Drosophila melanogaster: one gene and its partners. The protein of the gene in region 1 interacts with the protein of each later gene in a pairwise test. Each region holds a gene or a part of one and is shown in the gene's direction. Other genes may lie near its edges.

Region 1 (2,831 bases):
AGAAGGAACTTTGATCTGTAAAATCCTTCACAATGAATTTATACCACGTAGCCTTACTTAACAACTATATGTCCTCAATAAAGTATAACCTTATAAACTAAGTTTTAGTTTATAGTTTTTAGTTTTTTTGCATATTTGTCATGAGTAATGGTTGAGTTTCAATCGAGTTGATTCCATCACACACACTCCCTCTTTTTATTATCAAAATCTCTAATCCGTGTTTTTTTTTTTTAAGTCTTTATCGGAACACCTGGTTAATTTAGACGGCAATCACTTGTTGTTTTGTTAATGTCTAGCAAAACTTTAATTCATTTTCACCAATGCTCTGTCAATGCTTCTATGCTCCTATATCAGAAATAATAACGCGTTACCCATAGATAAGCCGGAATCAGTTAATATAGTAAACAAAATGCGAGTAAAATAGCGAAACCCGATCACCTGTAAATGCACAACTGTCCGGTCGCTGTTATCAGACCTTGTCGAATGACTAAGCCATCTTATCTTTGCCTCTAACCACTGGAATAATTCCCACAAACCCTGATTGATGGAGCTTCGCAGTTCCAGTTTGTTTCGAGCTAGACGTGTTGTGCCACGGACTTTCCAGTATTCAACGCGTTGCTGGGTGGTGAAGTTGGTTCGGTTGGCTGGTTGATTATTTGGCTAGTTAATCAACTATGCGGTACTATGAAGATCCATGTGGCTATCCTCCTCGCCATCACCATGGTCGTCCAAATATCGAAATTGATGTGGTTCCCGGTTGGGGTGGCGGCTACTATCCGCCGCCGCCTCCGCCTCGGCCCGCCGAGGTAGTCTACATGACCCCGGCGGCTACCTATGTGCCCGGCACACAGGTGATAATGCCGCAACCCTACGGCGGCGTCACGGTGGCCACCACCAATGGATACTATCCGCAGCAGCAGCAGCAGGCGTACGAGTATCAGTACCAGTATCAGCAGCCCTACAACAATCCACCGTATCCGCAGTGGTGAACGAGGTCGGAATGGAAACGAAGCCATCACCACTAACAAAAAAAAAATATACTATCGATGGAGTGAAGGAAGGGATAGATAACAAGAAATCAAAACAAATATCACTTTGTCCTAATCTTAAGTTGAAATGACAACGCAAATGGTGCAATGGTCTTGACATTACGCACCACAAAGTTAACAAGTTAATAACCAGAGGAAGGTACAAAAAAACAAAACTGGAATTTAACTTTAACCGTTTCAAAGAAAATATAATTGTGCTATATAACCTTAAAACGAAATAAATAAAATATCTTGCTCTTCAAAAAACCTACCCGTCTTTAATTCTAAAAATATTCTAAATACTGCATTATCGATTTTATTTATGTTTATGTAATTTAGTGTGAGTCATCAATCAGAAGCATGGAATTAAGTCCTTCCTCTTAAATATAAAATTGTGATTCATGGAAACCTTGAACTCTCCTCATGAAATTCAATTCGGAATTTCGTATTTATCAAATGGCACTTATCAATTTTATTTTTTTTTTATCGAAAAAAACACATTTATTCCACCTGACAAGATAACCAACTAAGCTACTGTGCAAAACGCACATAACAAAATTAGGAAAAAAAATTCCCCCTCATTAGCGATAAAAATTGACTTAAATAGTTAAGCAGGCGAAGAAGCAAGTTCAGTTCGAGAAAGCAGTCAAAGGCATTCACTTCACCCACTAAGGATACAATACTTGGATAGTTTCTGAAGAAAATGCCGTACTACGAGGAGGAACGTCGTCATCACCATCATCACCATCACGGTGGAAGGCCAATTGTAGAGGTGGACATTGTGCCGCCAAGGATTCCTCGACCAGTGATTGAGATCGGAGTGGGCGGCCGGTATCCACCACCACCGCCCAGGGTGGAGGTCATCACACCAGCTGCCGTCTACCAGCCGCCACCACCACGACCCATTATCGAGGTGGATGTGGTGCCACCAAGAGCTCCCTTCATCGAGTTCAACATCGGCGGTCGGCGTCCACCTCCCAGGGAAGAGGTCATCATCGTTCAGCAGCCCCCACCGCCCAGGTGGTAGGCGTGGTCTCCATATGACCGTCGTTCAACAACGAAGTAAAAAACTTTAAAAATATTTATTAAACTTCATGTATTTCTGCAAATAGAAACTATAAACTAACTTTTTACAAAACCTAAGCTCTTGTATAATAAAAATAAAAAATAAATAAACAGTTCACTCCTTCATGTTTGAATTTCGTGTTTATACTACTATATACTATAGTATACTATATATTACGCACATATTTCTTCATGTAAGCTGACATTTTAATTTGCCTCAATCTTATTGCCAATGCAATTGTAAATCCGCTCGAAATATTTGCTTAAATAACTTAAATGCACTTTACCTTAATTGAAATATACTTGATTGGTTTTCAATGTCGGTTCTTGCTGTGACACATTTTCATATTGCGAATATATATGCCTGCATTTATTTGCAATGTTAATGGTACAAATATGAAAATTGAACTGCAGGCGAACGACATAAACAATGGTCATGGTCATGATTCCTTTTCCACTCTCTATTTTCCGTACGGGTAATTGCTTTCGTGGATTTTTTGTGGTTTTTGTATATATTATTTGGCTTCGGTTTTGCTATCTGACTGGTGGGAAATGATTGATGTCCTCTGGTCGTAGCCAGCTTATCAATTATTGTACAACTAGTGCTGTCAGTACATAAACATATTTTAAGCTTTATTATAACGAAAACTGGGCAATAGTTTTCTCAATTTAAATGGCGTAATAAATATAAAAGATCTTGCTGGACTCAAAGTAAAATTTGAATTATGATTTTATATG
Region 2 (4,768 bases), about 18 Mb from region 1:
TGCTAATTATCGTAACTGTGTACATGAAATGTTTGATTTATTTTTAAAATACTATTGCTGGGTAAGATAATCAAGCTTTTCGAAGTAGTAGGCATTTGATGTTAAAACTTCACATATACTATTTTGATATGTATTTTCCATTGATCATATTATTTGTTGATCCTGTATCTAGTAGGCATTTGTATGTGCACCCTTTGTATACTATTTTTATGTATTCGTGTTGTCGGGGCCGTTGACCGAAAATTTTCGTTTAGTTCAGAACCATTTTGATATATATATATTTTGATATATAATATTTCGTTATTAATTTGTACGGGTTGGATCGGTTGTTGCCCTTCATTTATGAACCCATGATTTTGATATGGATTGTATTGATTTTGGTCATAATACTGTTGTTCGTAATAATTAGGTTGGACTTGTTCGAATTCATGTGCGTCTTGGAATCTCATTTCGTCAATAGACATTTTGAAGTTAGAATTCTTAGTTGTGGAGGCTTGTTGTATTGTAGTTGAGGGTATGTATTTCTTATAAAATGTGCTGTTTGAGGATTTTGGATTTGTTGGAAATGACTTTTGGGAATACTTGGTTGAATGCTGATATATGGGCTGGACTTGAAATAATTGGGTGGTATTGATTAAAATTAGGATGGAAGGGTTGAGAATATTGTGGGTAACTTGGTGGATATTGATACAAATACCCAATTGTATTGAAGTTGTGTGATTTTGAATTCAGATAAGGATTTGAGTTTTATTACGGATTTCGAGAAATTTGTTCAATCCAAAATTATTATGTTCTTTATAAATTCCCTCACTCTGTGCAATAGTAAAGTCTGTAATATCACGATGAGCCAAAATATTGTAGTAAATAATTGTATTGGTAGTTATAAGAGTCACTCGTGGAGTCAAAAAGGCATACCAGATTCGTAGAAAAGTATGTAACAGTCGGGAGAAAGCGTTTCCGACTGTATAGAGCTTACATATGTATAAATATATTTGATAGGGATCAATAGCCGGAGTCGATCTGTCCGTGTCAACGTCGAGATCTCAGGAAATATAAGAACTAGACGGTTGAGATTAAGCATACAGATTCTAGAGACATAGACGCAGCGCAAGTTTGTTGACGCATATTGCCACGCCCACTCTAACGGCCACAAGCCGCCCAAAACTGTCAGTTATTAGTCGATTTGACAAAAACTTTTTGCCACGCCCACTGTAACGCCAAGAAGCCGCCGAAGTGGTCACGCCCACACATTTGAACAATTTTTAATTACTTCTCATTTTATTCCCCAATATCTATCGATATCCCACAAAAATGATAAAAATTTCGCGTTTGCATTCATACTAGCTGAGTAAAGGGTATCTGATAGTTGGGGAAAACGACTATAGCATTCTCTCTTGTTGTATATCTGTAAGTTCATTGGATGAATTGAATTTCCTCCCAATTTTTCCTTTTTTTATTTTTTTTTTGTTTGTTGAACAAGGTGCTTGTTAAAGAAACTACAATTGAGCCAAGACAATTTTATAAAACTACAAAAAGAAAAATTATTTAATCAAAATAATAAAAATTTAATTAACCCCAAACTTTTCAATCACCTTCCAGTGCCTATGCCCGCCACCTTCCAGCCTCCACACAAGTCATCAATGTTTTCTACACACGTAGCCTCCTCAGTTGTTTAAGGGATCACAAAGTCTAAGCTTCGCATGTGCCGTGTTGTTTTAAGTGAATTTTGAGTTTTATTGTCGTAAATTATATAATTAGTTCATATACAATCATGTAAGTACAACAAATATTAATAAATATTCTTAGTGGCATGACCATTAGTAAAATATTAATTGAATTACTATATTACTTAATCTAAGCCTATGATTATAGTACCAATATTAATTAAGAATGATCTATGAATAACGATTTTAATCATTTTAATAATCCAATGACTGGTTAAGGCTCTAGGCAAATTACTTAAACAAGTGCTAACGAACATTACATTGACTGCATTTCGCGCGGGAGTATACATATACATACACATTTTTATGTACGCACATGTATGCCAAGAAAATGGCTTAAAACTAAATTCATGTAGAATTTGTATAGTGCACGATAAAAATGCAACCCAAATTCAACCATAAGCACATTTATTTTGATGGTCTGCAGCACTTCGCAAGTTTTGAAACCAATTCGGATATTATATTTTAAATTTCCTTTTCGTTTAGTATTCACAAAATCCGACGATTTTAAACACATATTCATATTCATATAGATAGTTGAATTGAAACTGTTTTCCAACCAAATTGGTTGGAAATTGATATTGATGTGTGTTGTGGATTGGAAAGGAGGATGTGTCGTGTTGCTACGCGTGCATCTTATGAAGAGTGTTGGGATTTATATTGATGTACACATAAACATACGTAACAATTTAAGCTAGGGCTAAAACAGATTAAATAAATTCGAGTTAATAAAATAAAATGGCTCATTATGCACGCTTTTCGTATAATTTCCCGAGCCTATAAAATATGTACAGTATGAAGTGAGCATACACCACATGGCTTAAGCTTAGAAAAAAATATCTTTATTTTTTATTGTACAAAAAATTAATGATGTGATAGTTGTGCGGATGATCTTAAATCCTGCTCGTGGAAGCATTTTTTTATATCATGAACCTAAACAGGTGTCGAATTGTTGTTGGATAGTTTGCTGTTATCACTCGATCAGAATCTATATGCGAAAACAATTTTGCCCACGGCCACTCTACTTCAAGCCACTTCAACTTCAAGCCGCCCACACGTTCGAAAAATTATTTTATTTGTCTACAGTTTTTTTGACAATTTTAATCGATAACCTAATAAAATGAAACAGTACATTTTTCTTGTGCTCTCCCACTATCTGAGTATCCGGTATCAAGAAACTCGACTATATCGTAATTTCTTGTCTTACCTCTTAAGTATTAAGTATTACCTAGTATTAAAATATATATTTGAAATATGTATGTATAAGATGAGTGCTGTGTTTCTCATCTTCCTATATATTATGAAAATTACAAGCTTAAAGTTAACCGCTTAAGACAGATCACCATACGCTCCCTCGATTAATAATTACCTGGAAAGCCTGTTGAGCCTAGATTTTCTTCGCATAAAGTAAATGTACATTTTTTTAACTCTATGCCGCGGAAAAACGTTGGTAATTTGGAAAAATTATATTCCGCCTACAAAAGGTAATCCTTTAAGTAATCCAAATGCTGTGTGATGGTACAGGTGTTGGAGGTGACCTGGAACAACGGACAGACGGCGATGACAGAAATGGGGCGGAGTCATTAAGAAACCATTATAAATGAGGATTCAGTTTGGTTTTATTAAGATTGCAGCGCTTTCTAATTCGGAAGAAATGTTACTTAACTACTACTTAACGAAATTCTGAATATTGTCAACAAAATCTGAAGAAAAATCAATGTACAAAATCTTAACAAATTCTGCAGAAGTTTGGAAAGGTGTGAAAATGAACTTCAGCAAGGTTCAAAAATCTGAAAACAAATTAGTAAAAAAAAAGCACATGTAATGTTTTAATGTAACCAGGGAGTACAAAATGTGTATACATTTCAGGTAACCATGAAAGCAAAGTAATATTTGAAAAGAAAATTAATTAGCTTCCTAGGTCACATCCCCAACCGTAGATGTCTATGAGCAAACTTCTTTGCCCGAATTCGGGAGTCAAGGGAGTCAAGGGAATTGGAGACCTATGCGGTTTTCAGGCACTACCGGTCCACAATAAAGTGGGGAAAACGCATATGCGGTCTTAGCCACTTATTTCTCATTTTGGACTGGACTTTGTTAAGAAGGTAAATGCAAATATTATTTTCGTAAAGAATTCTCTAGAACATGAAAGCGGCACAATAATGATAATTGTATTATTGAATCGTCGAGGGCCTTGGCAACCGGGACCGGGACATTTGCAGACCCTTATCAAGCCATTCCTTAATAAAATCGCTACTATCCAATCCGATTGGGAACGCGTAATTATTAAAAATAACCTTTTCCCAATGGGCGTATCGCATAGGTCATAATCAGAAAATCGAGATAACCTTACAACAACCGCGTGTGTGTTTTCGATAAAAAAGGACATTGTGAAAATGGCAATAAGAAAAACGTATCGTTATCCATTTTAAGAAACTAAAGAACGCTATTGACGCTGAATACTTTACAATACTTCAAATTATGGGAAAAGCTCCACATTTTACAACATCGGACCTTAAATCGTAATTCCATCAAATCGAGTAATTAGAGAAATACAGGGAAACCCCTGAAATATTTTTTAATGACGAACTGCATTTCTACAGAACTACAGAACTGCATTCTGCACCACTCGGACTGCAAATTGCACCAAATTTTTTCCAAAGGACAATCGATGATGCTTTGCGGAACAGATCTTAAATAAACATGCTACGTGTATGTCGATGACGTCAGTTCTTCACAAAAACTAAAGATCATCAAATAAGATATAGAACAGAGCTTAAAAAGTTTATAAAAGCCGGCATCAGGCAGTCTCAAGAAAAGTAAATCGAGGCCTTCCAATCACCTACGTTGATTTACCAAAACTAATATTGCCATCATTCATAGTGATGATGCTCTCTCGTACCTTTTAACTGTTTCCGTAATCAAAAATAATCGCGGAAGCAGACTTCTCATCTACGAAAATCTTTATCCGGCCAAAATAAATTTCTATCGTTTCCCAAAAAAAAACGTTTTGCCACGCCCACTCTAACGCCCTAAAACCGCCC
Region 3 (4,221 bases), on another chromosome or scaffold:
CGTACCCTTTCCCTGGTGGTATGCACTTTCACCTATCTTTTAATTGGAGCCGCCGTGTTCGATTCCCTGGAGTCACCAACGGAGGCCAAAAGATGGGAATTCCTACAGAGTGAGAAGCTTGTTGATTTATTAACCTAATTTCTTAGTAATGAATTTATTTAATCAATTGTAGCCGTTAAGAACAACTTTGTTAGAAAGTACAATGTGACTGACGAGGATTTCCGTGTGATGGAAATCGTCATCATTGAAAATAAGCCCCACAAGGCCGGACCTCAGTGGAAATTCGCTGGAGCTTTCTATTTCAGCACGGTTGTACTGGCAATGATAGGTAAATTAATTATCTATTAAATATGATTTATTGAATAGATTATAATTCTGTTGTAACTTTCTTTAGGATATGGTCATTCTACGCCAGTTACAATTCCGGGAAAAGCATTTTGTATGGGCTATGCTATGGTAAGTGAACTTACAATCCCAATTTCCAGTCTTCTAAAGATATTCCCTTATTAGGTGGGCATCCCGCTGGGTCTGGTGATGTTCCAGTCTATCGGAGAACGTCTGAATAAGTTTGCATCCGTGATAATAAGGCGGGCAAAGAGAGCCAGTGGAGCTCGCTGTACGGATGCCACCGAAATGAATCTCATGTTGGCCACCGGAATGCTCTCCTCCATAATAATCACCACTGGAGCAGCAGTCTTTTCCCGATACGAGGGTTGGAGCTACTTCGATAGCTTCTACTATTGTTTTGTCACCTTGACGACAATTGGTTTCGGCGATTATGTGGCATTGCAGAACGACCAAGCTCTAACTAATAAGCCTGGCTATGTGGCGCTGAGCTTGGTCTTCATCCTATTCGGCTTGGCCGTGGTGGCCGCCAGTATCAATCTATTGGTGCTCCGATTCATGACCATGTGAGTCCATGTTCTATTGCAGGAAATATCTTATTTAATGGATTTTTAATCACAGGCAAGCAGAGGATGCCAAGAGAGATGAGCAGGATGCTCAGAACTTGGCTGGAAATGCCCAGCCGGTGACCTTCGATGATGAGTCCACGTACAATATGCACGGCAAGCTGCTGGAGAACAACTACACAACGGAGAACGATGAGACCGCCTCCCTGTGTTCCTGCACCTGCATGGGTGGCACCAGGTGCCTGAATCATGAGCAGTTCGTGGACCCGGACTTTCAGCCTACCGACATTATCGAGAGCACCTTGTGCCTGAAGCGAGCCTCCGTCTGATATCCGTACAGCCAGCTGTGGGACTCCTCATTGTAGGAGCCAGAGCCAATGGATCACCAAATCGTAGTTACAATCCTGTAGAGAACCATCCGCCGCCAAAATTTGGTTGTTAGACAAACCTTCCTCCCTACGTAGATTTTTAAACCAGGATGGGTCATAATACATATAAGTTTGGAGAGCAAGGTTAATAGTCTTTAAAAGGCAGTTTTTGCTTAAGAAATAATCGACCCATCCCATTATACACCCATATAAACATTTACAAAGGAGTAAAATCCAGGACATCCATGTCAATATCAATCGTATCATCTGGTCGGTAGCCTTGGAATCCTCTATTGCTTCCAAGGCACCGCCAAATCCATCCCATCTCGAATTTTAGCCGTATATTCGTTTATCTATGTAAGTACTATTAAAGTTTGTGCTCAAAACGGAGAACTGAGTTTTCTGAAATCGGGGTGTGTGAAATGTGTCGAAGTCGGAAATCGTAGTAGCCTATTTGTGAACATTCGGTGTAGTAATCCAAGCCAGGTTCAGTTCACCTCAGTATCAGCTAGCACGTACACGACTAAAATCTAAACCTGAAAAATTATACGTTTAAATATTCAGTCTTTTGCCGATTTTTGCCCCACTCAGACTGTTTTAAAAGCTCGATTTTTTTTTGTACCATTTTTTCGGTGTGAAAAAGGGGCCCTAACTTTACTATCAAAATGCGTGAAATTGTACACATTCAGGCCGGTCAATGCGGTAACCAGATCGGTGGTAAATTCTGGGAGGTAATCTCGGATGAGCACTGTATAGATGCGACCGGAACGTACTACGGCGATAGTGATCTCCAGCTGGAGCGCATCAATGTATACTACAATGAAGCCACCGGTGCCAAGTATGTGCCACGCGCAATTCTCGTGGACCTGGAGCCCGGCACCATGGATTCGGTTCGTTCTGGCGCCTTTGGCCAGATCTTCCGGCCGGACAATTTTGTGTTTGGCCAATCGGGAGCAGGCAACAACTGGGCCAAGGGTCATTACACCGAGGGTGCTGAACTGGTGGATTCCGTCTTGGATGTGGTGCGAAAGGAGTCCGAGGGATGCGATTGCCTTCAGGTAAGTTTTGGGGGTTTGGGAATTTATCTGAAAAAGTTTACCCTACTTTTCTCCAACAGGGCTTCCAGCTGACCCACTCGCTGGGTGGCGGCACTGGCTCCGGCATGGGAACCCTGCTGATCTCGAAGATCCGCGAGGAGTACCCGGACCGCATCATGAACACCTTCTCGGTGGTGCCCTCGCCCAAGGTGTCCGATACGGTGGTGGAGCCCTACAATGCCACCCTGAGTGTGCATCAGCTGGTGGAGAACACCGATGAGACGTACTGCATCGACAACGAGGCGTTGTATGACATCTGCTTCCGCACACTGAAGCTGACCACGCCCACCTACGGTGACCTGAACCATCTGGTTTCGGCCACCATGTCTGGTGTGACGACCTGCCTGCGCTTCCCTGGCCAGCTGAACGCTGATCTTCGCAAGCTGGCCGTGAACATGGTACCCTTCCCCCGGCTGCACTTCTTCATGCCCGGATTCGCACCGCTCACCTCGCGAGGATCGCAACAATACCGGGCCCTTACCGTTCCGGAGCTGACCCAGCAGATGTTCGATGCCAAGAACATGATGGCTGCGTGCGATCCGCGACATGGTCGCTATCTGACCGTCGCCGCCATCTTCCGTGGCCGCATGTCCATGAAGGAGGTGGACGAGCAGATGCTCAACATTCAGAACAAGAACAGCAGCTTCTTCGTGGAATGGATCCCGAATAACTGCAAGACAGCGGTGTGCGATATTCCGCCCAGAGGTCTCAAGATGTCGGCCACCTTCATTGGCAACTCCACCGCCATTCAGGAGCTATTCAAACGGGTTTCGGAGCAGTTCACCGCCATGTTCCGAAGGAAGGCCTTCTTGCATTGGTACACCGGCGAGGGAATGGACGAAATGGAATTCACAGAGGCCGAGAGCAACATGAACGACTTGGTTTCTGAATATCAGCAGTACCAGGAGGCGACTGCCGATGAGGAGGGCGAATTCGATGAAGACGAAGAGGGTGGCGGCGATGAATAATAGGATTAACTTCCCACTCAAGATCACACATGAACACCAAAACAGGCTAGCAGGGGAACCCATTAGGAAGGCACAACACATTGGATCTTTGGGCCTTAGCATATTGTGCTTCGAGGCCCGTCGGTTGTACATATTTCCTATATGGATTCTTCACTGTTCGATTATTTATCATTCACACACGTACAGAAGAAATATGTCCACCTTTGTTAAGCTCATGTTGCAATTGCTGTGATTTCTGGGTTACGAATAAATGTTGATTTATAAGCAGACAAGATTACCAACAGCATTTTGCATATTTTTATACCGTTCAAAAGGCATTGCATAAACCTAAACATTAATATATAAATATTCTGGATTGAATTGAATTTGAGGCTAAGCGCTCAATATCGAAAATCTATATTTTGTTGGCAATCATTTTTTAGAGTTGCCTTACGAAAGTGACAGCTTTCCTTTCTGACAGGCCGTCATCATTCAAGTCATTCAAGTCATTGAAGTCAAGGCACCAAGATGTATTTTCCGACTACTCCAGTTACCTCTCGCAGTGGCTATCTGCGCGGCCGAAAGCGCATAAATCCGCATCCCATATCGCAACTGCAGAGTGGAAAACCGACGTCGGAAGACGACCAGGATAGCACAAATGTTGATCTAGAAGAATCAATCAGCTCAAGCTACTCATCGGAGACGGACATCTCGATGAACGTGGAGGCGCAGGACACCAGCACGGATAGTGGTCTGGACACTAGCCAGGAGAGCAGCAACGAACCGCGCTACTCCCTTCGAAAGATGGATAAGAATCCTCTTTAGTGGTTTATTCAACTGAATGGTCTACATGGGTGTAAAGGAACAGCAGCAGCAGCAGTGGCATCGGGAAATACTT

What was found. Proteins that work in one complex are often made in the same cells at the same time.
Region 2: the proteins of CG15423 (region 1) and Marf1 interact in a two-hybrid assay, tested with the Drosophila melanogaster proteins (one large-scale study listed by BioGRID).
Region 3: the proteins of CG15423 (region 1) and betaTub85D interact in a two-hybrid assay, tested with the Drosophila melanogaster proteins (one large-scale study listed by BioGRID).

What each region holds. Positions count from the first base shown.
Region 1 is NT_033779.5:4,004,382-4,007,212, forward strand, and holds CG15423 (uncharacterized protein), read left to right. Parts: upstream 1-1,659; 5' UTR 1,660-1,731; coding exon 1,732-2,055; 3' UTR 2,056-2,225; downstream 2,226-2,831. Other genes in the region: CG34176 (uncharacterized protein), read left to right, coding at 1-1; CG15422 (uncharacterized protein), read left to right, coding at 675-989.
Region 2 is NT_033779.5:22,310,266-22,315,033, forward strand, and holds the start of Marf1 (meiosis regulator and mRNA stability factor 1), read left to right. Parts: upstream 1-1,661; 5' UTR 1,662-1,773; intron 1,774-4,768.
Region 3 is NT_033777.3:9,407,776-9,411,996, reverse strand, and holds betaTub85D (beta-Tubulin at 85D), read left to right. Parts: upstream 1-1,714; 5' UTR 1,715-1,944; coding exon 1,945-2,337; intron 2,338-2,396; coding exon 2,397-3,344; 3' UTR 3,345-3,614; downstream 3,615-4,221. Other genes in the region: Task7 (TWIK-related acid-sensitive K[+] channel 7), read left to right, coding at 1-109, 173-328, 395-456, 511-911, 967-1,240; CG44261 (uncharacterized protein), read left to right, coding at 3,852-4,148. UniProt on the Drosophila melanogaster protein: Tubulin is the major constituent of microtubules, a cylinder consisting of laterally associated linear protofilaments composed of alpha- and beta-tubulin heterodimers.